Mytilus edulis: one gene and its partners. Each later gene encodes a partner of the first gene's protein in a complex. Links are inferred from orthologs where the notes say so. Each region holds a gene or a part of one and is shown on either strand. Other genes may lie near its edges. The genes, in order: dynein axonemal assembly factor 10-like, p53 and DNA damage-regulated protein 1-like, protein UXT-like and prefoldin subunit 6-like.

What was found.
Region 2: dynein axonemal assembly factor 10-like (region 1) and p53 and DNA damage-regulated protein 1-like share a complex: the UniProt entries of both Homo sapiens proteins name them as parts of the PAQosome complex. The link is inferred for Mytilus edulis from reciprocal best matches to the Homo sapiens genes DNAAF10 and PDRG1.
Region 3: dynein axonemal assembly factor 10-like (region 1) and protein UXT-like share a complex: the UniProt entries of both Homo sapiens proteins name them as parts of the PAQosome complex. The link is inferred for Mytilus edulis from reciprocal best matches to the Homo sapiens genes DNAAF10 and UXT.
Region 4: dynein axonemal assembly factor 10-like (region 1) and prefoldin subunit 6-like share a complex: the UniProt entries of both Homo sapiens proteins name them as parts of the PAQosome complex. The link is inferred for Mytilus edulis from reciprocal best matches to the Homo sapiens genes DNAAF10 and PFDN6.

Annotation. Positions count from the first base shown.
Region 1 is NC_092346.1:9,760,876-9,768,856, reverse strand, and holds the start of dynein axonemal assembly factor 10-like, read left to right. Parts: upstream 1-4,965; coding exon 4,966-5,139; intron 5,140-7,478; coding exon 7,479-7,579; intron 7,580-7,900; coding exon 7,901-7,981. Other genes in the region: ribosomal RNA processing protein 36 homolog, read right to left, coding at 1,140-1,217, 1,662-1,722, 2,278-2,293, 3,033-3,275. UniProt on the Homo sapiens protein: Key assembly factor specifically required for the stability of axonemal dynein heavy chains in cytoplasm.
Region 2 is NC_092352.1:12,758,788-12,766,742, reverse strand, and holds the start of p53 and DNA damage-regulated protein 1-like, read right to left. Parts: upstream 3,020-7,955; 5' UTR 2,920-3,019; exon of another isoform or gene 2,878-2,919; intron 1-2,877. UniProt on the Homo sapiens protein: May play a role in chaperone-mediated protein folding.
Region 3 is NC_092344.1:98,263,562-98,271,449, reverse strand, and holds the start of protein UXT-like, read right to left. Parts: upstream 3,018-7,888; 5' UTR 2,887-3,017; coding exon 2,798-2,886; intron 1,109-2,797; coding exon 1,027-1,108; intron 1-1,026. Other genes in the region: uncharacterized protein, read left to right, coding at 7,814-7,868. UniProt on the Homo sapiens protein: Involved in gene transcription regulation. Acts in concert with the corepressor URI1 to regulate androgen receptor AR-mediated transcription. Together with URI1, associates with chromatin to the NKX3-1 promoter region.
Region 4 is NC_092345.1:388,784-396,703, reverse strand, and holds the start of prefoldin subunit 6-like, read left to right. Parts: upstream 1-4,906; 5' UTR 4,907-5,004; coding exon 5,005-5,065; intron 5,066-7,920. Other genes in the region: surfeit locus protein 1-like, read right to left, coding at 4,822-4,845. UniProt on the Homo sapiens protein: Binds specifically to cytosolic chaperonin (c-CPN) and transfers target proteins to it. Binds to nascent polypeptide chain and promotes folding in an environment in which there are many competing pathways for nonnative proteins.

The DNA of each region.
Region 1 (7,981 bases):
TTGAACTTGACCTCTATTTTGTCATCAGTAACAACATATTAAAATTTGAAAAGCTTTGGTTAAATGGTTCATGAGAAAATGCACAGACACGACTGGAAACACCATTTTTCAATCTTTCAAGAACCATAACTCCTGAACGGTAAAAGTCAAAATCGTCATTATTGAACTTGACCTCCATTTTGACATCAGTAACAACATATTAAAATTTGGGAAGCTTTAGTAGAACAGTTCATGCGTAAATGCACGGACACGACTGGAAACGCCATTTTACGATCTTTCAAGAACCATAACTCCTGAACGGTAAAAGTCAAAATCGTCATTATTGAACTAGACCTCTATTTTGTCACCAGTAACAACATATTAAAATTTGAAAAGCTTTGATTGAATGGTTCATGCGTAAATGCACGGACACGACTGGAAACACCATTTTTCAATCTTTCAAGAACCATAACTCCTGAACGGTAAAAGTCAAAATCGTCATTATTGAACTTGACCTCCATTTTGTCATCAGTAACAACATATTACAATTTGGGAAGCTTTGGTAGAACAGTTCATGCGTAAATGCACGGACATGACTGAAAACTCCATTTTTCAATCTTTCAAGAACCATAACTCCTGAACGGTAAAAGTCAAAATCGTCATTATTGAACTTGACCTCTATTTTGTCACCAGTAACAACATATTAAAATTTTAAAAGCTTTGGTTGAATTGTTCATGCGTAAATGCACAGACACGACTGAAAACTCCATTTTTCAATCTTTCAAGAACCATAACTCCTGAACTGTAAGAGTCAAAATCGCCATTATTGAACTTGACCTTCATTTAGTTGTCAGTAACAACATATTAAAATTTTAAAAGCTTTGGTTGATTGGTTCATGAGTTCATGCACGGACAACATTTGATTGCCGCCCGCCCGACCGACCGCCCGGCGTATTTTCCCAAATCAATAACCGACATTTTTGTCACAAAAATCCAGTTAAAAATCAAAAGTTATGATGCACATGGAGTGATTCATTTTGTTCACTTCACATTTGAGGTGTCCTGTGTATTTACAAAATTTAATAATTGCACCAATAAGGAAGGAATATATTTACTGCCTTTTTCAATTTAATGAGTTTTTAGCTATTGGATAGTGTTACCTGTTCTTATTTTCTCTTTTAAAAACTCTTTTAGAGGTAGGCTTCTTCACTTTATCTCCATGTACTACTTGGTTATATCTGAAAATATTCACATTGTGTAAAAAAAAAAAATAACATTGATATTTTACAATTTATTTGGATTTTGTCAATTCCAATCAGCCCACAGTTGGAGTGGGTACACTTTTATATGGTTCAATTTTCTAGACCTATTTCATTTTAAAATCATTCAACTTGAATACACAGATACAATACATTTGAATATGAGTTAAGCTTTATCAATATCATTACAAAATTCAAGGTTAAAGGCCACAGTGAACATGAGTTGGCATGAGTATATTTCAGCTTTGTTACGCTGATGATTTGAGCATCACCACGAACAGAAAATCACAAATCCAGGAATTTTTAAGTTCTTGACATTTTCATAAAAAATTTGAACTGAAGATTTTTTTACACTTTACAAATGCGTTAAAGTTCAAGTACAAGGAGACTTTTTGTTATCTCAATGAAGAATAATATACTTACACTTTTAAACCAAGCCTCTCTTTCAACTGTATTAGTTCTTCAAAAGACATATTTGATAATTCTGAAACCAAATTGTATATCCTATAAATTAATTTGAAAGTATATCACTCTTCTTACCCATCATTGGCATTTAAATTTGGTGTGGAATGTTTTTGATGAAAGTTAATCCAGAAGACTGCTTCAGGCCACCAAATTTATGAAATGTTATTTTCATTTTTCAGCACAACTTTGATACAGCTGCTGGTGGTTAGTTCTCAAGAATATTATTAGCTCAATAGTCATTGTTTTGCAATTGACATAGTTTATTATACATTTCTTAAAACTGTCAGTGTGGTTGACAAATTTAGAAATTATACAGAATCTTCTGTTCCAACTCCTTGAGTCAAAGCTAACCATACATGTATATGGTTTTTATTAGTCTTTTTAGGTTCGAAGCATTTTATGCATCTTTTTCGTTAATAGCATTCTGAGGAAGGCAATTACAGAAAAGTCTTCCATACATCAAACTAATAAATTTAAAATGTAATTTTCATTTCCTGCCTAGATGCCTTTTGGATATTTTTGTTGTTTGGTTGCTGTCTAACTGATGCCTTATATATATATATATGTAACTTACCTTGCTTAACTGTTACCTAAAAACAAAAAATAAAAACAATAACTATTGATTTGATAATGAATGCAATTCCTTGAGAAGACATATTATTTTGGGACCATATGTTGTTTGTTTTGGTTTTGTCTTTGTTTGTACATATAAAATGACCTCTAATTTGTTTTTTCTTAGGTGTTAATGTTACTGTAATCTGTTGTTCTGTCCATTAGGCTTGAAGCTTCCTGTTGATTTTTTTTTTATACTTTAATATTATACATGTAGTACAATTCAAAAGTTTTGTACAAAATATAATTTCTTTTTGTGTCTATCTTTAGAGTAATTGAACAATGACAGTTTGTCTTGTGCAAGTTGTGTGGCGACATTCTTATTTATTTAAAGATAACTGGGAATTATACCTAGCAGTATTCACTTGTTTTAACTCTACCACTTCAGGTCTTGGTTCACTTATAGAATTTCAATGTACATTAAGGCCAGTTTGTGAAATGTATATAGTTTATTGAATAAGATTTCTCCTAAACTCTGAGGCAAACAATATTTTTATTAACTCCTTTCAAACAAATATCTGTGAGAAGTGATTTTAACTAGTAGAAGAAATCACAAATCCTAACAAGTTGTTATTTTATATAATGTCTAAAAATAGCAAAAATCAACATTCAATCTATTTAAGCGTGGATCAGTTTGTGAAAATAAACTATATATATATATACATTGTATAGTAAAGTTGTACAAATGTTTAACTTATGCAACTTATTAATTCTTACTAATTCATCAGCTTCAGCCTCTTGTGCATCTGAACCTTCAGATTCAGATTCTTCAACGGTACTTTCCTCAGATGTTGTATCTGACTCTTCAACCTGCTCTTTCTTCCTCATCATATGTAACTCATCGACTGGACTTTTGGGTAATTTCGACATCTTATTCTTTTTTGCATTATTTACTGAATATGAAGCAGTTGTGTCTAATGTAGATTTTCTTTTCTTGGAAACTGATATAGTGCTAGACATTCTCTTCTATAATTACAATTTCTGCAACAACAAAATTATTTCAAGTTGGATTACTAACACATCTATTTTCATGATTTTATCATGTTTACGTTTATGAAATAATAAGTTTATTGTATGTTCCTTTAATTATTCATGAACTGTTAATTCAATGCTTTAACCTCTTTTTGAAAGAAAATAAATCATTTACGGATATACATGTTTATATCTTTGATTTTTTACTGAGTGTGATAAAGTTTTATTTCCGTGCATAATTTTTTGCCTTTTTATTTCGTGTGCTTATGTGTTTCGATGTTTTATTTATCATTTCCCCCATATTTGGTTCGATGTGCATGCTTCCTTTTTCCCCCTTGTTTGTTTTTTGTGTTTTATGTCTGTACTTATTATTTCTCTGGCTTGTCATGCATTTAATTCAAAGGTAAACCAGAATAATTTAAGTCGACCAGATATGGTATACATGTATTTACGGTATATATGTATATACATGTACTGTATGCAGTAAAGTTTTTTTTTATGTGTTCAAAATTTTATTTCATTCTTATTGCATTGATTGTTTTTATGTTTTTAAACACCTCTCTTAACTGCATTGATTGTTTTATGTTAAGCGCTTAGAGTAATTTTAATTAGATAATGTGCTATATAAATATTGTAAATTAAAGTACATAAAATTACAATGAATCACATTTTTTTTTCCTAAATCTAATACAACTAACAGATGGTAAAAGGCAACCACAAGGTCTTCATTTCTATTAATAATGACTGCATGATCTCCATGAACAGCTGAGTTACATAACTTCTAGCACTATTTTCATTAATATTTATTATTTTATTTCTGGTGCTTATAGCTTTTCCTGATTTTTGTTTTCAATGCAAGTCATTTTTGCAAATTTTATTCCACATGGATCTGTATTCAGAACCATGCACCCTCCCCCCCCCCCCCCCCCCCCCCCCCCCCATCTTTACTTATAGATGGATTTGGTAAAAAAATCAAATTCCTGATGACGAAAGCAACTGAAAGCGAATAGGGTGAACAACAGGGGGACTAGATTTAAGTTTTTACCCTTGGGCAATAACAGGCGCACTAGATTTCCCTTTTGACAAGTCAGCAAAGCTAAGTGACAGACAGGAAAGAGACCTTTTTTGCCCAAGTTGCCTGTCTGGTGGAGGTAAATTTGACAAAATAATACAGGTCAAGAAATCCACTATATAAAGCAAAATAAACATGCACTAATAACTTTTATGTTCTCAACAGGTAGCACCTGCTTCATGTCATTTCTGCTTGCCACTAGCTCTAGCCACTAGGCATAACAAAAATTTATTCCAGCTGCACATGTTTGTTTGTTGACAATATCACTATACAAATCCTTGACAATATCAAATTATTACTAAATCAGTGAATAGTCATGATAGTGTGATGGGGTTTGTAATCACTCTGTCAGAAAATTATCTATCTACATAATATTAAAGTGAGAAATGTTAAAATATCTACTTAAGTGTCATAACAAAGGCAAAGTATCGAGTTAACTGACTTTAGCAGCACCTGTTTTTATTTATAGAGCTCTTCTGCAATAAGGTAGGAAAGTTTCACTTCCGGTTAAAGTTCGCGAAAGAAAAAGAAATTTCATGTTGCTACAAGATTGGGTTTAATCGAATTTCTACAAGTTTTCTTATTTTAAAAGTGTTTTAAAACAAAATGGAGAAGCCACAGATTATTTCCCATGTACAGAAACCAGTAAATTACACATTATTTGATACAAAATGGATTCCGTGTAGCGCAAAATTTATTGTACTCGGTAACCATGCACGCGGAACTGGAGCATTTCAGGTTTATGAAGTACAACATGGTGATGTCAAACTAGTTCATGATGTAAGTAAGAACAAATTTCCCAACTATCTGTTTCTTGTAGTAATGTATGTTGTCTACAACAGGTTAGTCTAAATCTGTTAAATTGGAAAATTAAAGTTGAACCTTATCGCTATCTGTTTGACGAATCCATGACAAATCTCCCACTGGTAAATCCCCCAACACCTAATCGCCTTACTTTTTCACGAAAACCACCCACTTAAAAAAATCGACCCAAACTGGATTACCAAATTGCCCCATTTTTTTTTTTAAATCACCCCACTTGTGAAATAGGTTTAATTCCGTTAATATAACTACTGCCAACTCGCCCCACTTAATGAAAAACGGTAATATTTAGATTCACTTATAATTTTTTATCTGCCAAATCGACCCACTTACATTTTTGTAAATATGAGACTAATCTACACAGAATACAAAAATAAGGAAACTTATTTAATTATAATTATTGACTAGAAATGGGCACATTAAAAAGGGTAAAATCCCATTGAAAATAGGTTGGATAACTTACCCCACTTATGTAAAGGGTTAAAATATCTTTGAAATACGGTCTGGCACCTCGCTCCATTCATCATGTTCATGACAAATAAATAAAACACAATGAATTTAGCAATGCCAACTCCCCCCACTTATGACTACAAACTAGCCCAACATATGAATAAAATAATAAAACTGTAAAGAGTGTAGGTTTTCCAATTCATCCCACTTATGAGAACGTTTGAAATGCATTTTTTTTTCTTTTGCATGGTAAAAATTAAACAGAAAGAAGGTAGAATCAGCATTTATGTGACATTTTTTTCCCTGGTAAATATATTCATTTTTTTATAAAATAAGTCAAGAATCATCTGTGTTTAAATAATTTTATTCTCAGATGATAGGTTTGCACATCTACAAAAGTATAAAATAAAATTGAGAAAGGAAATGGTGAATATGTCAAAGCGACAACCACCCGACCATAGAGCAAACAACAGCCGAAGGCAACCAATGGGTCTTCAATGTAGCGAGAATTCCCGCACCCGTAGGTGTCCTTCAGCTGGCCCCTAAAATATGCATAATAGTACAGTGATAATGGACGTCATACTAAACTCCGAATTATACACAAGAAACTAAAAATTAAAATCATACAAGACTAACAAAGGCCAGAGGCTCCTGACTTGGGACAGGCGCAAAATTGCGGCGGGGTTAAACATGTTTATGAGATCTCAACCCTCCCCCTATACCTCTAGCCAATGTAGAAAAGTAAAAGAATAACAATACGCACATTAAAATTCAGTTCAAGAGAAGTCTGAGTCTGATGTCAAAAGATGTAACAAAAGAAAATAAATAAAATGACAATAATACATAAATAACAACAGACTACTAGCAGTTAACTGACATGCCAGCTCCAGACCTCAATTAAACTGATTGAAAGATTATGTCTTCATCATATGAATATCAGGTACAATCCCTCCCGTTAGGGGTTTAGTATCATACTATCATAAAATATATGAGAAGAACATAACCCGTGTCATGCCAACAACTGTTTTTTTAGAAATAAATGTGTTTAGTTCCATATGCATAACGTTTTTCATTAAGTGGGGCGAGTAGGCAGGAGTAATATTAACATTATTAACGGGATTTAACCCATTCACAAGTTGGCGATTTTTTAAAAAGAGGGGCGATTTGATAAACCAGTTTGGGGCGATTTCCTATATAATCAACCACAGTTTTTTCCATGAAAAGGGGGGCCCTGGATCCACCTATGTTATTTTTTGGTACATGTATATTCAAGTGGGTCCGTTCACTTCCAAAACATGTTCACACCTCACAGGTTTGCTCCTACCCATACCTCATGTACCTGCCAGGCCAACTGTCACTATTTGCTGGTGTTTTACCCCATGGAGGCGTATGCCTACCCACAATTTCCCATGCTGGTTTTCCAACCCCTGGTGTGAAAAGTCTAATATACATTGTACCTAAAACATGTACAAGCAAGGATCAGAATTTTATGTGTTGGTTTTGATTATATGTGGTCTAATTTCATTTTCATATAATAGTTTTAATTAAATTTGACCTGTCACTCAGTCTAAAAAGTAAATGGAAATTTTGTTCATTTAAATAGTCATTTAAAGATGAAATACATGTAGATTTTATTTTGATAATTTTGCTATTTGGTAGTAATCATGTTTTTTTTTCTCTCAAGTAAACTGAACAATACATTTATTCCATTATATCCAGACAGATAAACCTTTGTACAATGTATTATAATATAAAATCTTGTGATACTCTCATTAAATGCATTACAAAAAACATACATGTACATTTTATATATATATATGAATCTGCTATATAATTTTTATTAACAGATTGAGAAATCAAAAGCTTTGAAATGTGGAACATTTGGAGCATCAAGTTTACAGCAAAGATATTTTGCAACAGGAGACTTCGATGGAAAAATGCAGATATGGTTTGTAAATTAAATATTTTTAATGTATTACAAATTACAGATAATCTTATTTGCTATAAGAAAAAAAATACAATGTCCCTAACATGCCTAAGGCCTATTCAAGATTAAAGAATGCTGACTGGTTTGCTCATAGTTAGAATAATGTGTCAAGTCTTTCTGTGGACTTAAAATTAAGCATTTAATTTGTTGCTTGACCTAAACATCAATGTGTGAACATTTATCCTATACTACTTGTCCCTTGAAACATAAGACAAAAAAAACCCCAAAATCCTGATGGTGAATTTAGTATATCTGGTTTATATGTTTTATTGTTGTTTATAGGAACCTAGAGTCAATGGAATTACCTGTATATTCTGTGAAAGCCCACAAAGAAATTATAAATGCTATTGATGGAGTTGGTGG
Region 2 (7,955 bases), on another chromosome or scaffold:
GAGGTACAATGGGGCCAATGAAGTGTTTCTTGTTTCTTGTTTTAATGTAGAATGGACCATTGGTTTTCCTGTTTGTTTTTCATTTATCGTTTTGTTAAAAGTTCATGGTTTTAGTTTCTTGTTTGAATTGTTTTACATTTGCCAGTTCAGGGCTTTTTATAACTGTATGGGTTTTGTTCATTGTTGAAGACCGTACCATGACCTACAGTTGCTAAAAATTTGATGTGATATCTGGTGGAGAGTTGTCTCATTGGCATTGTTTTTGAATTTTATATTAATTTGAGGACTCATCAACTTAATTTTGCTCCTCAATTTTTATATCATTGCATCATCAGTACAAGTTTTCCCCTCAGGCAAAGATTGAATCGGGTTTTTCATTCCAATATTCCTGAATGTATTGGTTTTTTTTTCATCATGGTTTTAAAATTGAGACATTTATACTATGGCTAAAATTGATTTCTTGTCATGAGTATGATGCATCAATATTATAGTTCTGAGAATGTGTTAAAACAGTTTAACATTAATTCATGGACAGTGTTATTCTTACCCAATTTTGTGACATAAACCAAAATATTGTCCATGTTAGCATCAAAACAGTCAGTATAAATATATGATCATGATGATGGACATGATGGAGGGTTATTTAATGTACAGTGTCATTGCAAACAGTTCCAGTTCAGCCATTTGTTACTTATAAATATGTATACTATAGTATATAGGTTAGATACCTAGAAGTCGTTTCTATATGAGTCGTCTATATGAATGGTTGATTGTATAAGTATTTTTAAAAATAAATTATAAATTCTAAGTAACTTGTTTTATTGGACTATTTGGTCATTCAATTTTGTTAGGTATTCTCTGTCTGAGTCTGACACTAAACAGCTGATTCTTTTTGAAAGAAACACCAAACTTTTGATACATGTTTCTTCACTTTTCTCATCAAGATATTGCCATATAACTGGTGGAATGCATATGAATTTGTGTTAATTAGCTGGATAATTAACAAACACAGATAATCAAGATCATGTTCAAAGTACCATTCCCTCTGAAAAAGTTCATTAATTTCAACTTTGAGAATTTTTAACTGTGTAAAATTTGACATTCCTATCTCTCTTTTGTAGAGTTTACCCACAAATTTTAAACATCTAAATACATGTGTTAAGCAAAATATTAGAGAATGTGTGCACCAAATATTTTATTATTAGGTTTCTCTTGTATATGGTGTTTTGTAAACTATATTTATATAAATACTTATAATTTTTTTTTATTTCGGCAGGAAATTAGATTATAATTTATAATTCATTATAATCATTTCATGTATTTTTTTAGTAAATTTTATAAATATTCAACTTAAGAGAATTGGCTAAAGCAGATGATATATTTACTATAATTATTTAGTAAAAAATCAAGGATCAGTTTTAAATGAAGTGATTATCTGAGCAAATACTAGAAAACTGGTGAAGGGTAAAAAGTCATATAATAAAACAATTGTTGAATTTTTATTTCAGTTGAAACTATGATTTATCAACCCCAGAGATATGAAATTCAACCTGGGCCGTTGGCCTCGGTAAATGTCATATCTCTTGGGTTGATAAAACATTGTATCAACCTCATCAAAAGTCAATAATTGTTTAATGTTTTGCCTTTCCTTTTCAATAAAATCGATAAATAGTCATTCAGATATTATGTTGGGTTTTTTTCCGAAAAAGTATGCCCAAGAACAAAAAATATTTATTCATATCAGTGATACATTGGAAAACAAATAAGCCATAATTTTTATTTTCACTCTTTTCTAGGGTACAAATGCTGTGTTTTAATACCAAAAAACGAAGTGACTGAATATGCCCAACCCTTTATGTATCTAAAGCAGGGTATATTTGGAAACTGAAAAAGTTTAGTTTACTTTAATGCTAGAAAATGCTAAATTACTAATTGACATTAGAAAAGGATACTGTTTATAATCATAATAATAATGGCTTCTAAGGTTCAGTTAGTATTTTGGATAAATCTGAAGATCTCTATTGGAAGTTTTATGTTCTAAGATTTTGAAAAATGGTGTTTATGTCACATGACGGATCACATATACTATTTCGACACAATAATTTAACAGTCGTTTTATAAACAATTGTTTTCGGGAAAATACTCCTCTTTTAATTAGCTATAAAAAAACATTTGACATCTTTTATAGGATGATTAAAAGATAATGGAAAACCAACTGTCTGAAGATACTGAGATGTCCGAAAATACCCTGTCTTACCCTAAAGTCTCACTAAAAAACTTGTTCAGTTTGCCATTGTTAGTGTATCAAGCCAGAGAAATAAATCTCTAAATCTCCAAGAATACTGCTTGTCCTTTGTGCGATATACCTGACTTAGGTTTGGGGGACTAAAGACAAGTATATATATATTGTAAATAAAACGAAGAGCTTTCAATTTATGATCCTTTTACTTTGGATTCAAACGCCAAAAGGGGCTGATACATGCAATCTTCACAACAATCATGGTTAAGACAATACAGTTCCAGAAAATACTGATTCAACATACAGATATATATAACATTTATGCCTAATGAAAACCTTGTTTCTTTTAAATAGTAAACAATGCTTTTTGTACTAAAATAAATGACCAACAGGATATATTGAAATCTACATTTAGCATGATTAGCAATGTCAATGATTAGACAAATTTTGAAACCTTTGAAGGTGCCAAAAAAGAATATTTTTCTTGATATATAAAAGGGTTTTTAGATCATTTTAGTGTCACATAGAGACATGTAGTACAAGTACATAAATATAACAGTAAAAGAAGGTCGAAAATCGTCGATTTACACTAATTCTAAACATTGTCATAAGATAGTAACATGAACAATTCAATTTACAGCAAAACATACGTCTTTTCTTCAAATATTAGTGTGTATTACTTCTAAAAAACGTCTATAAACTGCTTAGAACCATATTTTTACTCTGAACAAATTCTGTTCATGGAGGCTGCCATTTTCTATGGGAGATAACTCTAAGTAGAAACAGTTAGAGTTATTCCCTCTTGATGTGACAATCAGTGTAACCAAAAAAGTGCAGTTGAAATTTTTATTAAGTGATTTTTTACAAATTAGAAATATTTAATGAATTGTTTAATGTATACCAGTAACTAGTTCTTTGCATATTTATGTAGTTCAACTGTTGATTTAAATAAACCTTAAATGTTTCCAAGTCAAGTGTTGTATACTTGTGAAGGTATAAAGGGTGCCTAACATGTTTTTGTTGAATTATAAGTAGAATCTTCTTTACATAAGAAAATGCCTGTTCCAAGTCAGGAATATGAATGTTGTTATCCATTCGTTTGATTTGTTTGAGCTTTTGATTTTGCCATTTGATTAGGGACTTTCCGTTTTGAATTTTCCTCGGTGTTCAGTATTTTTGTGATTTTTCTTTTTAGTCCATTAGAGCAATCCCTTAGGTCTCAATGTTGAATTTTTTTATCAGGCCAGTCCTCGTCATGAATTCTAATAATGGGCAAGCAACTACTTCTGAAACAGCCAACAAAGGTCTGTAATTGTATAGGATGCACGGAAAGAAGAAAAAGGGGAAGTTGTTGTATAAATAGTAGTTTAAAGGATATCAAACTCAATTGGAGATCTTCTTTGACTTGGTCAGTTAGAATTGCTCTATCTGGCTAACAAACTATAATGCTAATGATGAGTGGCAAATTAAATGCATAATCTGGACGTAAACATAGTAATGTAATATGAATTTTAACCCTGTTTTGTATTAGGCTAACACAATGGTTGTTATGGCTGCATAAAGACATGACACCCTACTTTGCACATTATTCCGACTCCATGATGACCAGTCTTTGCTCTTTACTTATTTAAAATGCTATTTGCTTAGCAGACAAGCTGCAAATACCCATTTTGAAGTCTTTATTTTGACCTGTCATAGATTCTAACCCACAACCTCCACATTCCATAACACATATGAGACCACTGAGGGGGTTATAACAGTCTATGATACTTCTTTTTCTGCTCAGCTGCAGTTTAGTAGAAATTATTTGAGAAAGTATTTGTTTCTAATGGCTTTAGAACTTAAGAGTGATAAAGTATGAAGGGAATGGTGTTCTATTGACACATGTTCTTGTTTTGTACTATAATGATGTTTGTTCAGCGGAGGTCTATGGTTCATTTTCTGTCATATTTTTTTTATTTTTGTAAATTGTTTTGTTATAAATTAGGCCGTTAGTTTTCTTAATTGAAAGGTTTCATATTTTGTTTTTATGACAGTGCCTTTTATAGGTGACTATACGGTATGTTTTTTTCTAATTATTGAAGGCCATAGAGATACCTATAAATGCTTACATCCACTCATTAACTAATTAACTCATTGAATCTGTTTTGAAATTGTTAGTCCAAAGGACTCATAGAATCTTCTGAATGAGAACTGGGAGGATAGTAAGATAAAATCAACTTCTGTAAAAAACTAATTTTATTCACTATTCAACAATTTAAATATGTAACAAGTCATTAGAAACAAAAAAAATACATAAGTAGTGTTAATATATTTTGGCAATACATGATAATTAAAGAAGCAAGATACATTTAATTATAGTGTTTAAACTATATGCAACATTAGTGTTTTTAATATGAAGTAAATTTTAATGATAGAATATATTGCAAAAAGTTTTTATAATAGCCTATTGAATGATTGCAACCATTTAATGACTTTTCTTAAAACAACTGTTTTCATCTCTATGTCTGTCTTGGGCGGTCTAACATTTAAAAAACAAAAACTTGGTAACTTTGTATTGGGAAATCATAATTTAGTTGTTTAGTAAAAAAAATTGCCAAATTATGGATTATTAGGATAAAACTAAAAATCAGACCAATCCATTGTGTCAGACTCATAAATATTGTCTTGTACAAGCATATATACAGTATTTAAACAAATGCATTCCCTTGTCAATAATTCCCTTTATCATTCTATACTAATTTGTAAATTTTCTAAAAGAAATACTTTTAACTCGTCTTTCAACCAATTTTAATGAAAATTTCATCATCAAACTTATGAATGTTCAAAGGTTTGTTTTCATTTTTCATAATTCATAATTTCAACAAGAACTCTTTTTGGGACAATATTAGTTAAAATTCATAAAAAACAGAAAAGAAAGAACCTCAAAATATTATCCATTTACATAAAATTCATAAGAAAAAAAATCAAAGACTATTTACTTTCTATTTTAAGTTCATGGATGCACCAATCAAAATCCATTTAATAAACATACTTAATATTTAAGAAATAATTCATTGAAGCCATAGATTTGTTGGAAATTTACACATGGCCTGGGCCGTGATATTCGAATTTTATCCTGAGCGTTAGCGAGGGATAAAATTAACGAATATCACGGCTCAGGCCATGTGTAAATTTCCAACAAATCTATGGCTTCCATGAATTATTTCGATTCTAATAGGACAAATACGATCATTTAAAAACTGAAGCGATGATGGGTATACTGTGTGTGTGGCTGTTTTATTTAACCCACTGTTCGATACATGTAAAACAAATCTAATAAACCTGCATGAATGATTTCTTAACTAACCGCTAGAAAAAAAATGTGATAACTTTTTTTCACCTCTCAGTAAACCCAACATTTGCAATTTTAAATTTACATTTTTTATCGTAAGCTACCGTCAAATTCACTGTTGACATGTTGTAACCAAGGAGTCGCCATGTTGACTTGCTGAAATCAGTAAATGTGCGAATAATGCAATAGAACAGAAAACAAGCAACACCTACCTCAATACTTTATTTTAATGCAATTGTATCCGAGTTTAGAAGGTAAACGCAATAGAAAAACCTTCAGCTTTGGCGTTTTCATTCGTATGACGTCATGTTTTGAAATGACGTTAATGCGCAAGAATCATTACTGGAATTTCGCGGAATTTTAATTTATTTTGTTTTTGTCCATTTTTCCGTTCTCTAATGTGTAAATTCTTTTTGTTATGCATCAGAATCAACACAGCGAAATCCACAACCGTTTACACATAGGTTATGATACATGTGGATTTACGTGGGAGGCATATTTAAACAGCCATTTGTGTACATCTTGGAGTCTGCGCTAAGTATAGATATATCGAGAATTTTATCACGGTGTTGTTTACAAAGCGAAAGAAGCACGTCATATTAGAATGCAAGTTAATCTTATAATTGTGAAAGAACAACCTATATCAAATAACTACATAATATGGCACTGAGAGGATTAATATTATGCATGTACATAAAAATAGTTTCAATTTCTTAAATCCATGATTCTATTCTATATATGTTTGTCCTACAAAATATCAATATAAGGTGCATAAAAGAAAACTAACTGAAAACTACTAATCTTTTAACAAAATAAAACAATTCAGTACAATTGAATAAAAATATGAATTAATTGCAAATAATAAGAATGAAATAAACCAATTAAGGGAGCTGGCTTCTCAGTTTCAAAGTAATTAACTTTTCAAAACACTAGCATATATTGATATGGGATTAATAAAGGAATCAAAAGAGCAAAAAAAATATATAGGTCACCGTGCTTGTCTTTGAAATATTAGCCATTGAAATTTTGGCGGGAAAATGTTCTCTCTTGACTTTTCATAGCTTTATCATTGACAAGTTTAAGTCTTCAAAAACTATTAAAAAGTAATTAAAATTTTATAAAACTTTAACAGACAGCTTATCATTATACATGTAAAAGAATTATAAAAAGAAAAATTGGGGTCACCGGGAAAATTTTGTTAAGGCATTCAAATGGATAAAACCAGAGGATTCCGAAAATCTGACCAAAATTCCAAAACATGACAAGCGAGCTTCCTTAAACTAATAACAGTACTTAAATTAAAAAATACATATATATATTGTGTTGTCTGTTTTTAGGTTATTTTCCTCAATTCTTAAGTGCGTATTTTTTTTTACCCTGTATCTAAATATCTGGTACCAAAAATTGAATACATTTTTGTGCATTAAAAAGATTGGTTTATAGTTTGGTTTTTAGGCAAAACTGAGAAATTCAACACATTTTTTTTTACAGTTAATAGCTAGGGGGTCTCACTGGGGGGTTCTGATCCCTGACCCCACTTACTGTTTTGTCAGATTCCTGTATCCCGCTTACACTATGTACGAAAGCAATTCTTTTTTTGTAATTTCCCATGTCCCGCTAGACTTCATTTCCTGTTTTCCCAGCACAATTATTTGACTTTCACTTGTCACGCTTACAAAAAATCGGCAATCTGGCATCATATTTAGACCCCAATGAGACCCACAAGTTAGTCAACAAGTGTAAAAATATCAGTCAACAGATGTAAAATTCAAACACAAATGGCCATTAAACTTCATCCAACCAAAACACAAAATAATCTGTTATCATTAAACAATAACATACCAAAAATCTGGAAATATTACAATAAAGTCAAGCACTAACAATACTAATGAAACTTTCTATGTTGAATTGTTCAAGGGCAATAATGTTCCCTAGAACAAAACACTAACTTGATCTGTAAATCATAAGGACGGAAGGATCAATTAAAGCTATGGGTACAAAAACCAGCGAATCACAAAACCATATACTACATATGCTTGCAATTTATTTTAATGTATACAAAGTTCAAAATGTTTTCCTAAAAAGAATAATGTTTGATCAAATCTTTGTTTTAACTGCAGCCATTAATCCTAACTCATTTTTTTCTGCAGCAGTTACCTTACTTCACAGCAGCTACTTAATATTAGTTGTGAAAGAATACAGTAATACAGTAATAATTATACAAATCCTTTAGTAGATTTCTGGATCTTTATTCTCTATTCTACTTCTTAATCACAACTTCAGTGAGAATTGATAATGCTGTACTAATCAAAAATAGTTTCTAAAAAGTTTCAGTGAATGGTATTCTTCAGTTCTTCTGTTTTCTATCTTGACTACATGGCA
Region 3 (7,888 bases), on another chromosome or scaffold:
GCAAAAAAGATTATTGTTTTCAATCCAGATACGGCCAGAATTTTTATTTAATGCAAAAATCCGAGTCAGATATTTTTCTCTCAATTACCTTAGACTGCCTCCTTAAATCAAATGGTTCGTACCTTAGACTTTAAATCTATCTAGAGCTTATACTGACTGGGGATCATTATTCAGCTATCACGCTATTTTTAAATAGGCTGGGGCGTTTGGGGTTAAACATGTTTTCGTAGGTAAATAATATTGCTGTGGATTTTTTTTCATGAGAGTGTAATAGAGTACATTACTTTCTGTTTGGTTGAATTGTGAAATAGACGTCACTACGTTCTTGTTCAAATCAGTGTCGCTTTGAAGGTATCGTGGTTGTCATACTCAGCATAAGCAATGTGTTACTGTAATTTGAATTTCAAAATAACTAAGTGACGTTTTATTTTACGCACTGATCAACTCCACCATGTAGCGAATCACATGACTTTGACATAATCAGTAAATACCAGCGAAAAATATCTTTATAAGTAAAGAATTGTCGCATGAAAATTAAATACACTGGAAATGGCAAAGTTCACAAAGTCTATTCTAATTAATCATTCCACAAAAAAAAAAAATCCAAGCAAAGGGGGGGGCCTCTACGCCCCCCTCTGGATCCGCCACTGCTTATGTCTACAAGCCTTACTGGGAAGATGAATGACTTCTTCTTTAAAATTTCTTGACAAGTTTCCAAAAGGGACTGAACCATATTCATGATAGTAGTTTTTTTATTGCATAATGTCGATTTTAATTCAAATTTCATATCTTTCCTAATATACAGTATTTTTCGAAAGATCACTTCTTTCTCAGGTTAGGCTAGATATTTGGAATTGTTTTCAATCTGTTTTTGATGGGAATCAAAAAGAGCTCTCTGTGAACAAAATGACTGCAAATGATTAACTGTTTTATCTGTTATCAATGACAATTACATTCCTGTAGTAGAGATAATACATTTATCTTAATACATGTATAAGGTCATATATGATGATCGAACATAATTACCTTAATTGTTTCTATAACTGTTTTTAATTGAAGATATTCAGCTGTTTGTTTGTACACTTCATCCCTCTGCTCTAATAGTTTACTGAAAGAATGGAAATACAACATTTCACTATGAAATTAACAATACAATAATATTACCTAGACTACTCGACTGATTCATTGTTCTGTGGATGAAGCCTGTAGAAGATAAAAGTGTAAACTCATGCTTCCTATTATAAAATGTTGGCTTGTAACATTTGTTTGCTTGTGTCTTTGTATATCATGTATATTATTACTATTTTTGCATTATGCTTTATGTATATATATACCTAAAGTTTGTTTATTGTTGTTGTTAAAGATTAGTAGAGCTTGTGATGTCATGTTTCATGTTATAAACATGTTCAACTATTGACTATAAATGTTTTTAAGTAGGAAATTCTTTCGTGAGGGGTTACTTTACTAATTTCACAACTAATTTCAATTATGTTTACCTAGAAAATCATCACAGCACGAAGGAGTATATGGTTATGTGGCTAGACCAGCGACTCTTTTTTTCTTAAACAGTACAATGAATTTTAATATATTGTTAAATTTGCTTGTGCTGAAGAGAGGGTATTAATGCCCTTTACCCATCAGACGTCAAACATTTTTGGTTACTGTTAGTGTCAAATCAGTTAAAAGATTTCTGTGAATCATCAAAATATCCTTATTTATACACGTCAGAGGTCTCAAATTATTATTGTAACTGGTATTTTGGACAAAATTTAACATGTTTCGTCAAAATTAGTCAATATTTTTACCGTCCAATTGAACACGGTTTTACACTAGTATTTTTGGGGCCTTTTATAGCTTGCCGTTTGCTGTGATCCAAAGCTCATGTTGAAGACCATACCTTGACCTATAATGGTTTATTTTTATAAATTGTTACTTGGATAGAGAGTTGTCTCATTGGCACTTACAGTGGCGGATCCAGAAATTTTCATAAGTGGGGGCCCACTGACTGACCTAAGAGGGGGCCCGCTCCAGTCACGCTTCAGTGATTCCCTATATAAGCAACCAAATTTTTTCCCAAAAAGGGGGGGCCCGGGCCCCCTGGGCCCCCCCCTAAATCTGCCTCTGACTTATACCCTTGATGACCTTTGCATTGTTGTGATGTAAAAGTCCCTAACTGCTGTGCACTGGTCGTGAGGAGAACTACTGCAGAATGAAACACTTTATTCCTGGTTCTATTTTTACTTTTTGTTTCCGTATTAATAAACTTTATATCATATTCTTTTAATATTAAATCGACCTCATTGCACTCAATGCCTCTTACCTTAATTATATCCTACATTGCTCATATCATCAATTTATTATTTGTGTATTACTTATAATATTGTGTATTTCACTAATGTTTATATAATCATTGTATGATGTTTTTGTATCTTGCCCGACAAGGGCCCATGATTGGTTTAATAAAATAATGTCTAATAATGTCTAATATACCACATCTTCCTATATCTATCTATCTATGTACATTTTATCGGCATGACTGTTAAAGTCATTTGGTAACATTTTAATCATTATTTGTCATGGAGGTACCCCATTATTACCCTCTTAAGATGGTAAAATTTTTGAGTGTATCCATTTCCGACCATGCCATGGTCATGGAGGACCCTGTGAATGTAAGATTGAAATCTTGTGGTAAAAAAATAAGATGAATACAATACGATACAACTGTATTGTCACAACATAGGTAGAGTTATTAGAAGCAAGTTTACATATTAATATATGATATGCTGTACATGCCAACCTTAAATCTTTTCTAAGCTTTTCGTTTAGAAACGTTTCGTATTGTGTAACTTTATCTCTTATGTTGGTTTGATTTTCTTCTTTAGACATAATGGTTTGCAATCATAAAATATATTCCGTCATATAAGATAATGACATCAATCATAATTTCTTGCACTAATCATGTTTTTTTAATTTCAACTTGCGTTTTCTACTTTCATTTTACACACCGGAAGTCAATAAAGTAATAACAAAACTGTTACCGAAATGGATGACAAATTGCGGTATTATTACATATTTAAAACTCACCGGACCCAAATGAGCTTTTCAAATCACTTGCGTCCATCGTCGTCTGTTTACTTTAACAAAAAAAATCTCCTTTGAAACTACTGGGTCAAGGTTTAGAAGTCTTGGCTGCCCACAATCTTCATTATGGTATTCAGTTTTAAAAATGTGTCCGACCATTGAAGATGGCTTACATACGGCTAACATAGGTCATAGGGAAAATTTGTCTGCAATTTTGCAACCATTGTCAATATAGAAAATCTGACAAGGCAGAAATTTTCAGAATGTTGAGTTTGACAATCGGTCATTTAGATCAAAACTGTCAGACTACTTAGAGAAGTCATTCTCGCGGCCCTTAAGTTAAATGACAAAATAACGGAAATTGTTGAGGAGGCTAGCTATCACTGTGGAGCTATATGATTAAAAAGGACATAAAAATCAACTTGGCTCAACCGTTTTTGCTGTAGGTTTTGAAATCTTAGTTTCTTTACGATTTATAAACGGACAAATTTAGAAAGGTGTGTTATAGATCATTTATTACCAAAGTACCGACTACTAACTGGTTTTACCCCGGATACTGATAGTCCATCAGCAGAGGTATCGATCCAGGACTGCGGGAAAATAGAAAAACAACACGTTAGAGATTCCATTTGTCCGAAGCGCTTCATTGATTTACCTTCACAAGGAACGCTCAAAGCTTAATATTTGAAACAGTTTAGATCCAAATCCTTAGTTTCAACATGTTCTTCCAGGAAAGACCCCCAATGGTGACTAGGGAATAAACATATGGTCACCATTGGTCTTCCAAAGACCGGCAGTAAAACTCTCACTAAAGTGGGGCTTCCATTTGGCTGTGCAGGATGTACAAGTTCGCAGCAACGTCCAGTAAAAATGAGGACGTTGAATTAATCGGATGCCTCGTGTATAAGAGAGATGCCACGTTTTTGTATGTTAATAACCCTTAGCAGCAACTCTTTGTGGGATCCGTATAAGGTGACCAGTTGCACGGCTAAATTTTCCTATCTGATATACCCATATTTTCCTGTGTTAGCCCAAATTTCTCCGACTTCCATCCGGACTGCTTTTATTAGAGGACCTTCCTTTAGTGTGATTGTTTGTTAATTTGTTCTCGTCCTGAACATGATTGAAATATTTGTCACTGAACGTTTAGCAACCAATAGTCAATCAATCCTTATTTCGGGAAATAAGTCTGTTTACATGCCGATAAATTGTAATGCGGAACGCTACCCCTTACAATTAAAAACAAGTATTTGTGTGTGAAGTTTACACACCAACTAAAAGATATGTGTGGATGAAGTTCACTTACTAACTAAAGGATATATAGAGAACAATTGAGGGTCATGCATTCATTTTACTTTTTTCAAGGTTGGAACTTGAACAAATCGGAAATAGCTCTACACGAAGGAAAATTGTAAAGATCGGAAGCTTTCGCGTATTTATTAACATCATTGTAATTATTGAAGTCCGCGGTCTTTCTGTCATTTCGTGGTTCCATAAATATGGGTTACCTTCTTAATTGTCATTAATCAGTGACATCGTCAGTTAGCTTGCTGTCGGACATCGATGTTGAACATTTTATTTTTGTATTTGTAACAGTTCACAACAAATCAAATTAGCCCCATTGTTAAAACAATAGCACGTCAAACCAGTAAATTAAATTATGGTTTTTGTAATTGTAGTTTTATGTGACGGCCACATTAATACATTAGTTGAAACATATTTTATTTGCCAAATTAAAGCAACATGGATTATACATAAGTAAATCATACCAGTTTTTCTCCATAATACAATATAAATAAATACAATAATGGTATTATGAACATGCATGTAAAGCAAACAGTTTTAGGTGGTATGGGAGTCTAAAATAAAAATGATAGAATTTGTTCATACTTTGCCAAAACGTAGTATCTAATGATATATGTTGAAAAATATAATAAAAATGATAGGTCACCGCGCATTTTCTCAAGCTACAGGACGTGACAAAATGACACATTTTGTATGGATTATACAGGGAAAAACACCATTTTGTGATTAGAAACTAAACAAAATGATAGAATTGTTAAATACTTAAGGAAAAGATAGCTTTCAGACAATGCTTTGAGAAAATCAAAAAAAAGATAGGGTCACCGTACGTTTATTTTGGCTAAAATACAAAATAGGAAAATTCCATGTAGAATCCTTCAGAAAATACACTGTTTTAGAGTTACATCCCCTTAAATGCCAATTTAATTTTTTTGTAAAACAACCAAAAATAATCACCACTAGCAAAAATATTAATATTTATAAGTTATATTCTTATAAATTGGTTCTTTTAAATGAAAATTCACATTAAATATCTGCATTCCTGCATCAAATTTTGCTAACTTGATAAAAAATCTGGACCTTGGGTTCTCTGTTTTTTACAATCCAAGATGGAGGAAGACACCCATACTACCTTAATAGAATAAAATACGCTGGAGCTATTGTAGGTTAAAAAAAAAAAGAACGAAAATTTACAAAGTCATATACACTATTAATTCTGTGATGATGAAATCTGTTTGTGACCTTTTGGTGAAATTTTGAACATGTTTGTAAATGAACATTATGTTCGTTCGAAGGTTTCAAGCCTCCGCAAATTGATAGTTTTGTATCTTTAACAAAGTTTTTTGAAAGCTAGTTAAGATTATTGAGTGAGGTTTTTCTACATGAAGTGTGTTTTGGACAAGCAACGACCATATTCGTATGTCGTTCTCTGTATAGATGCTTATATGGTGGTGGAAAACAGAAAAATAAAAATTCACTCCTTTATCCCTGCAACGCACCTGCATAAAAGACAAGACGATGTTTGTTGAATATTCATGTCTCAGTATATATAACAAAAATAAAAAAGATATTTTGCATCCAAAATTATTTTATATTTCAAGCTCACTGTAACAGGTCTGCAATTTTTTTAATATCGCCGGGAAGAAAATTGCAGATTTAGGAGGTTGCATCTTGACTAATTTTGCAAAAATGTTTGCATTTCTTACCCAAATAGTTTTAAAAGCCGTGATATTTGCACATTTAATTGTAAAATAGACCATCTAAACATCAAAGAGGAGCACTAGATATTTTAATCCTTAATGTGCAACCTTGTCATATATACTAGTCAACAAAAGAAACGATACACGACTTTAGAATAAAAATTTATCAAAAAGTATTAAAACTAAAACAAAATGAGATACACTATTTTAAAAAGCTTTCATTTGCAATATATGCACATATGATAATGAAATTCAAAACCTGTCGGAAAGTAACTAAATTCCATGTAAACGATCAAAGGGTGCAAATTATTTTTGCGGAAAGTTGGACACAAAATCGACACATAATTTTCTAAGTCCTAAATGAATTTTCAAATTTGTTTAAAAAATATTCAATATATATGCTAATCAAGTAATGTTCATATTTTCACTAATGGGTTGAAATATTGTTTTTTTTTTATTTTTGGTAAAAAAAAAAAGTGTTTTTTGAAATCTCAAAAAATGCACACTGGAAATTTTGAACCTTTCGGATTAGTTTTAAGATTATTAACGGTTTTTTTTTTAAATTCACTTTACACATACTGTCAATGGTAAATCAATTGATAATGTTTACATTTAAACGAATTCTTGTTGGACCGAACTTTGCTTTACAAATAAACAAAGAAACTGTACGATTTTTAAAAAAGAATTTATGGCAAACATTGTCTTTATCTTTAAATGAGAGGTTGGCATCATTAGTTGGAACTTCTGTTTTTAAAATTATCGTTTTATGTAAATTTTGTCAAAAAAATTAAGTTTCGCAAAATGACGTCATGAGAGCAAAAAAACATTTTTTTTAAACGGATTTATTACCATGGTCATTAAATATTACTACCTTCAATATTAGTCCTAGAAACGGAAAACTTCATCTTTAATTTGAAAAAAAAGTCGTGTATCGTTTCTTTTGTTGACTATATATAAAACGATTCTTAAAAAAAGTTGCATGCAGGGATCGGAATAAATATGTACCAAATTTAACCTGGTCAGACTTTTTTTAGTTTGCATTGTTCCAGTAAATTAAAAAGGTGTTTGACTTTTTTCTCCCCACTTATTTGTCATTTTCGATCGTATAGCACCACGAAGGGTTACTTTTTTAATAGTTTATTTTTCCTAATTAACATGTGACTCCGCATATATATACTTAATTCCATTTCTAACGTTTGCTGGTTAAAAAAAATCGGGAAGGCGAATATTTAATAAGTTGAAAGTAAGTTTGACAATATAATTTAAGCAAAAATTGTATTTGGAAATTTCATTTTGCTACGCGATATTTGGCTAATCAGATATGACCTCGGGCAGCACATTTATCGTAAAAAAACAAAAATAACCAAGAGCTTATAAGTCAAAAGTAAATACAAGAAAACAAATATAAAAAAAAGTTCGAAATATTGCCTTCGAGGTCATATGTCACTATTGTTGGTAAACTTTTTGAACAATTAAAGTAATTCTAATATATCAATGTCTTTTTTCTCAGATTCACACATTTTGGTTAGAATGATCAAAAATGACAATCGCGTCATACATGTGTAATATGTACATGTAATGTATGACGAAGCAAAATATTGTATATGTAAACAACGTAGGCTTCCTATACTAAGTGATCTGATTATATTTAAACTAGAACGGTGTATTTTAGTCCACTGTGTTTTTTTCGGTCACGGGTTTTAAATGCCATTCAAGAAAAATATTTCAAAATGGTAGGAAGGAAAGAAGTATTAAGCTTACTTGTTTCGACTGTTTCAACTACAGGTAAATAAAATTTTCGTTTT
Region 4 (7,920 bases), on another chromosome or scaffold:
TATCCACTACCTCATATATCATTGCAAGGATTTGTATAGTGAGAACTATAAAAATCCTTGATCATTGTATATATAACTAAAATACGCATTTAGTTAAGAGAAAAATATATATACATCAACCCCAAAAAATGTGAAATAATTAAGTAAATATTTCTGGACAACCCCTTCCTTATTTTTACTGTTTTTGCTTAAATTACTGTTAAAATATGTATATTAAACAAATCTATAAACATGGGTGCCGAATTGACTATATAAAGTGCCGATTTAACCAGGTGCCAATTTGACTAGGTGCCGATTTGACTATACTGAGTGCCGATTTGACCGGGTACCGATTTAACCAGGTGCCGATTTGACTAGAATTCAATACAACTGACAATGACTGATCACCCAGCTGAATATGCTCTAAATAAAAACAAAGCAATTAGTCAAAAACTTGATGCCTCAAATCGAACATTCTCAGTAGTCCCTAAATTTAGTCCTGGTAACTTAGTGCTTACATTCACTGCCGGTGCCTATGAGGAATTTAAAATCGTGACCTTGAGTGTGCTTCAGGGTGAGGGGCTCTCAATAAGAAGGACTAATACGACCGACGTAAATAAAGCAGTAGTCTCTGAATCTGTCGTTGTCAATGATGCACAGAACAAACTCTATGTATCTGATGTATTAAACTTTTACAATACCTCGTCAAAAGTAGTTTTGAATGGTAATCAGCTACATATGTCAGTTTATATTTCGTCAACCCTACCTGATATCTTGAATGTATTAGACCATAACAAGGATTTCATAACAATTAACAGTAAAATCAGACAATGCTGCACTGCATATCTTAACTCAAATCAGACTAGTTGCACTCGACCAACTGACATTAATACTAGTATTCAACAAGATCAGTGTCAACATTCTAAACTAAATAGTGCTTCCGCATCTTTAAAGTCACTAATAAATGCTTCTGATCAACAACAAAATGACTACTGTCCTATATGTGAAAATCTTTGTAGTTCTGACAATAAGGCTGTTGAATGTGAAATCTGTAATAAATGGCTTCATTATAAATGTGAAAATCTTACTGTTAACATGGTTAAGGAGGTTGATGAGATAGAGAATGATCTTACACTTCAATATAATTGTAACAGCTGCAAAACTTTAAAATCATTGCAATCAGATCTACTTGTTTCTCATTTAAAACATGCTCCGTAAAACACTGGTATTCAACCAACCACAAGTATACGGTCACGTTCAGAAAATAGCAATCCTTCTACAAACTTGAGTCACCCCACAGTTCTGTGCTCCACTCCGCCACATTTAACTAACTGTAACATACATGTATACCTATTCCTTTAACCATCAGTGCCATTCCAATGACAACATGTAATAACACTAACATTTTAGAAGAGGAAATAAAATATTTAAAATCTCAACTTGGACTAAAAGATAAGCAACTTAAAACCAAAGAATTGCTCATTTGTAAACAAGATTCCGAAAAAAAATTAATGAAAAAAGAATTGGCTACTGACAGAGCCCTCACTATTAAATTAGAGCAAGATGAAAAGGATCTTGAACATTCCTTATTGATAAAACAACAAAACCCTAGCAATACAGTACATGAACCATCTGCGTCGAGAAGATAATTCTAGATCATATGCCATGGAACAACGTGTGTGTTCATAAGAATTTGAAATACTTAAACAAGACAATAAAATTTCAAATTTAGCTGATAAATTCATCGACTTTAAAATAGAGAATGGACGTAAACAACCGAGAACACGAAAGAACAAACAAAATGTGACCAATAATCAAACTGCTGACTAGTTTAAGTATGAGAAACCTTCAAATGACTCTTGTACTAACATTTTATTTGATTCTGAGCTTGAAATGCATGATGACGAGGTAGGAGATGAACAATCTCCTGTTCATAGTATACATGGTATATCATATACTGAACAGTACCCTTTTTTAGGCTAAGTTCGTGCGCCGAAAAGACACCTGCCACATATGAATTATTCTCCACCAAAGAAACCAATGTACATGTACCACCCTCCTCCAACAAGACAGAGAATTCCGAATCATGTCCGTCAACCAAATGTCCATCGACAATACCAAGTGATCCCGAGATTTCAGAACCAGAGTCCACAATTTCACCCTCGATTCAGTCTAGAATTTAACATCACATTTGTTAAACAGTCAGGGGACTTACTTAAATAAGTGATTTTCTAAATCACTGATTCAAGTAACATTATTTCCATAAAGGTTGGAAGTTAGAGTTGTCTTTCTTTAATAATCACCTATTTAAGTAGTACAAATTAATCACTAGAAGAAGTGATTTAATTTTACTGTAGCTTTAAATATAGAATACTAATGACCCAGGGACTAATTATGTTTCTAAACTTATCAGAACCAACATCTGTGTTGTCTAGGATGACCAGGTCATTTCAGGTGATGACCTTGTACTGAATCTAGGATAATGACATAAAAATCACTTGTTTAAGTATCAGACCTCAATTTCCTTCCCAAAAATCACTTCTTTAAGTATCATTCTTTTAATTTATAACCCCCACTAATTTCAACACCCCCGAACAGTGAAATTTTTATCGCGAACAGTAGAATTTTATTACATAATCTGAAAGATGAAACCTTGAACTTCACAAGAAAAATACTGCCACTGCTGGAAAAAATCTTTTAAGAAAGTATCAGTTCATTATGTAAAGCCATTATTATAGCATTTTTTCAACTAAAATAGAATTTAGCATCAAAGGCATAAACCTTGCTACTTAAAAGAAGCAAAAAGTTCATTTTTTTAAATTTTACTAATTAAAAGATATTATTTAAACCTATGTGTTTAAAATTTTGAAAAAACTACAAAATCCAAATTTGTGACAAAACCTCGAATTTGCTACTCAAATAAGTGATTTTAAAATCACTTATTTCAGTAAGTCCCCTGACTGTTAAATATTTTATCTTTTAACATTGAAGGCCTGACCTCTAATTTAGCGTATCTTTATAAACTTATTAAAAGATCTGATATTATTTTACTTCAAGAGCACTGGCTCTATAGCCATGAGAAGGATAATTTGTATAATAATTTTACTGATTTTAACTGTCACATAAAATGTTTTGACGATGGAATTATTGATGATGTAGTTGACAGAAAACGCACACATGCTGGGGTCGCAATTTGCGTAAATAATATATAATCCATATTTGGAGAAACTCCCTGATGGAAATAATAGAATTGCCGCAATATGTTTGAACTTTGATGTACCTCTGGAATTCAGCGGAAATCCACAAAAGAATTCTTGGTATCTTTAAAAACAGTATTGATAATGATAACTCTGTCGAACGTGACTTAGCATTCCGTCAACTTGCAATGAAATCCAAGTCATGAAACAGTTGGTTTCGTAAAATAGTAACTATCACAGAATTATATGATCTACCGTCACCTCATGATCTACTTGTCAGCCCTCCTTCAAAGTCTAAATGGAAAAAAACTGGTTAACTCCTCTGTAAGCTACTACTGGATAATTAAACTAAAATCTGATGTGTCAAAAAAATGATCTTTAAATCTTTCAAACTATGACATGTATGATGATGCAGAATTTGGAAGCATTCATCCTATTTGGAATACTTGTGGATCTGAACCTTACTCTACGTTACGTGCCTGCATCAAATCCAAATTAGTGTGTAATACATACTCTTCAATGCGACAATTCTAAATTTAGTAAACGACAAGTCAGTGCAATTTGTCCGTTATGTGGAACTGAGGAAGAGAACCGGGTACATTTTGTTTTGAGATGCAGTAAATTAAATAATGCGAGAAACAGCTTTATACAGAGTCTAAAAACTTTTATAAAAGATGTTGTATCAACTAAACTTTACGATGAACTAATTTGTTCCGAAATTAACACTTTCATGACTTTACAGTTAATTATTCACTAGAGGACTTAGCTGCGAAAAAGTAGCTCTATAATTGTCCTTTGATTTTTTTTTTGCCATATCAAAACCTTTAAAAAAGAATTTGTAACTATTTTTCAATTTAAAAGTCCGCAAATATCAAAAATCATCAAAAGGATCTTAAGAGCTACGTTTTCGCAGCTATAGAGAACTATGCCAACAGGCCTTAAGATTGAGGATTGAGGCAGGTGGATCGACTTTATTGAGGTAGTACTAATGAATCAATATCAATCAGCTTTATAATGAAAAAGTGCTCAACTGTGACAATTGTTAATTTGAAATGGGGCAACAAACATTTTGAAGTCCATTGACTTTCCCTCCAGTTTCTGATATGTATATTCATGGGATGTACTTATTCTCCTGAGTAAATAGAGGTGGTGGTTAATGTGTATAAACAAACAATATTAGTGCATTGGATTAAATGACAATTTAAATGATATTCACACTGAAAAGTGGGTCGTCTGATATAGGCGGAACAGTACAGACTAAAGTAAAGTAAGTAAGGCAGCAACCATTTGATTTTCTGGGGGGGGCTATGGTTTTTTTTTCTGGACAAACTTTTTTTTTTCGCCTACGGCGAAAAACAATCTATTTTTTTCGCGACAAGTCGAAAACAATTTTTTTTTCTTTCAATTTTAGCATTACATATAGTGGCAGCTGAGGGTGAAACAAACTTTTTTTTCCAAAAAAAAACCATAGCCCCCCCCCCCCCCCCCCCCCCTAAAGTAAAGTAACTCATAGTCTGACATACATGCATACCACATCTTATTATTTTGAAATATATGACAACTATTGCAAATGATATTTTAATGAAAAATATTATTTGCCTTGACACACAGTTTGAAGTTATTCAAATAAACATAATTGTTTAACCTTTCTTATGCCTGATGAATTCATTTTGTCAGTCAAATATTAGCAGCTCTCATTGAAGAAGGTGAGTTTTATAATGTTAAAAGTAAAAGTAGAAGTAGCAATGCAACGTTTAATTGGATTGGACAAGTGCTCTGAAATTGACCAATCAAAATTAGTTTGCCAGAAAATCTCTTCTGTTTCAATATGGCCGAACTTCAGAAACGATTGCAGAGCGATATAGAAAAATATGACGCATTCCAGAAAGGTAAAACTAATTACAAATTATCTTGATGACGATAAAAAGTGTGAACAACACACTGAGATAATTTGATAAATGTCCATCTCTATCGTTTTATACGTCCAGCTATGTCATAGTGTCAGTGAAGTCATGTTTTTATATCCATGGTCACAGACACACATGTTTATAATAATTTGAAAGGTAAACTATTCTTATATAATAGATCGACGTCGCCTAGTGCCTGGAATCTGGGTCCGTTCGCGCCCATTCACTTTCGCACACGATCACGTTCGCGCCCTTTCACTTTCGCACCCTACACGTTCGCGCCCAAGTTTTATTGGTTTTGTGTTTGATAACTTTATAACCAAGTTTTGGCAAGTGTATTCATATTAGTATATTTGTTTTCATTGTCTCAAAATAAAGTGAGACAACGTGTTTTTTGTGTTGAATAAATCTTAATCATAATTTGCCGGATAGTGTATTGTTAAAATATTTTTAATCATTTAAATAAAGTGAGATTCTGACGACCGGGATTTTCGGGTGGAATAAATCTTAAATATTAATCAATTTTGGTTAGTGTATTGCTATAATTTTTTTATCTATAAATTGTTTCAGGTGCGAACATGTAGGATGCGAAAAGTGTATTGGGCGCGAACAGACCTGATACCTAGTGCCTGTGTCCATGATCACCATGCAATGGAATTCGTGGAAACAAGAGGTTTCGGTCTTTGTCGTTTCGTCCATGTGCTAGTCCCATTTATTTATTAATACCATTTATTTATTAATATGAGGTCTTGAAAGAAGTTCTGGATTGGGGTCCTTCAATTCTACATTCTTTACTGTTTTTGAAAAAATTTCGGTATTCTTTAAAAAATTTGCCCATCATTCTTCCTTCTAGTCCGAATAGTTATGAAGTCTGGCGAGGCTATATTAATTTTTTTCTGGGACGCCTTCCTTTGAAAAATTTAAAGATAAGATAGCCTTGCCAGACGTCATAATTATTTGGACTATCTCTCTTCTAAATATTTTATATGATGACGTATACACTATTCTTTAATATTTTAGTCTATTTTTCTCTATTTACTTTTTTTCTCTTTATTTTAAACTTTTTGCCCATTATTCACTCTTCTTTGCCTCTTGTTCATGTTGTTACGCTTTTTCTTCGAAGATGTCCCACAAAAAAATTAAAATAGCCTTTCAAGATCAATTATATAGATAGCAATGTATTACATAAATGTATTAAAGTAGTTAAAGGTAAAACTTTTTATAAAATTCTACTTCTGTCATGTCTGTACAGGATAATGGCCACAATCAACTAACTGAATATTTTGCCATGACTTCTGTGCACATACAGACCCCTCCCCACACTGTTTTTTAAATTAGTTCAGCTTTGGCACCTAGGCTTTGAAAGCCTCAACTGTCAAATTATGCTCATGATGCTGATAAAGATACATATACACTAGAATACACCCGTGATATCGCGGGTCCGTGACTGAATTAAAGTATATAACTATGCGTAAGCCTTATTTTAATATTGGGATTGTCATCTGATAAAGTCATGCCGATTATAAGACGCACAGTTTTCTCTGCTTTCAAAATTTTTCTGTTTGAACACGTCGACCTGGAACTTATCAATTATTGGTAATATTAATTATTTGGAAAACAAAAGGTCCTGGAATGGAGTATTTTTTAATCAACAGCATTGTCCTATATAAATAAAGGCAACAGTAGTATACCGCTGTTCAAAACTCATAAATCCATGGACAAAAAACAAAATCGGGATAACAAACTAAAACCGAGGGAAACGCATTAAATATAAGAGGAGAACAACGACATAACACTAAAATGTAACACACATAGACAAAATCCCACGAGAATAACAAATATAACATATATACATGTATATAACATCAAAACCAAATACATGAATTTGGGATAGACAAGTACCGTGACACGTCTTATCGCAATGTGAATTTACACTCAAAAATGAGAGAAAGCAACCGACACAACGTTATAATGTAATACACACAGAAACGAACTATAATATAACAATGACCATATTCCTGACTTGGTACAGGGCATTTTTAAAGGAAAAAATGGTGGGTTGAACCTGGTTTTGTGGCATGCCAAACCTCACACTTTTATGGCCATGTAAAATATAACATCAAAATGACAACACAGGACTACAATATAAATAAATTGGAGAACACAATTGACAAAGAATCACACGAACAACAGCCAACAAAAGGCAACAAGTTCAAAATTTTAATACGCCAGAAGTGTATTTTGTCCACACAAGACCTATGTGTGACGCACAGATACAAAAGTTTGAAAGCCGAAACGAGTACAAAGTTGAACAGCATCGAGGACCAAAAGATCAAAAAGGTTGTGCCAAAAACGGCAAGGGTTTTCTGTTAAGTTACCAGAAAATCCCTATAATTTAGAGTAATTTATACTTTTGCAAACAGTAAATTTAATAAAATGAATATTCAAAAAATGTACATGATAAAGCTGAAGTATTAACTAATTACAGGAAACAACTGAAATACATTTACATAACCAGACATTATAAGTTATGCATATATTGGGGATTTTGAATCTGTTCAAAGTTTTGATTTTTCTACCCTATATCATGTATATACCACTTTGCCTCATATTCTTATTAAGAAAAAATTCACATCCCATATTAACTAGGCATTTAAAAAGTCAGAATGCGAGTACATATGTTCAAACTCTTTTAGGTCATTTTTTAGTAGCAATTAACAAATTAAAAGAACTATGTCAATTGGACATGCTTTGATACTATATATGCCCTTGAATTTTTGCTTGATAACATTTTTGTTCGCTTTGGAGATTCCGTATATCGTCAAGTTATTGGAATT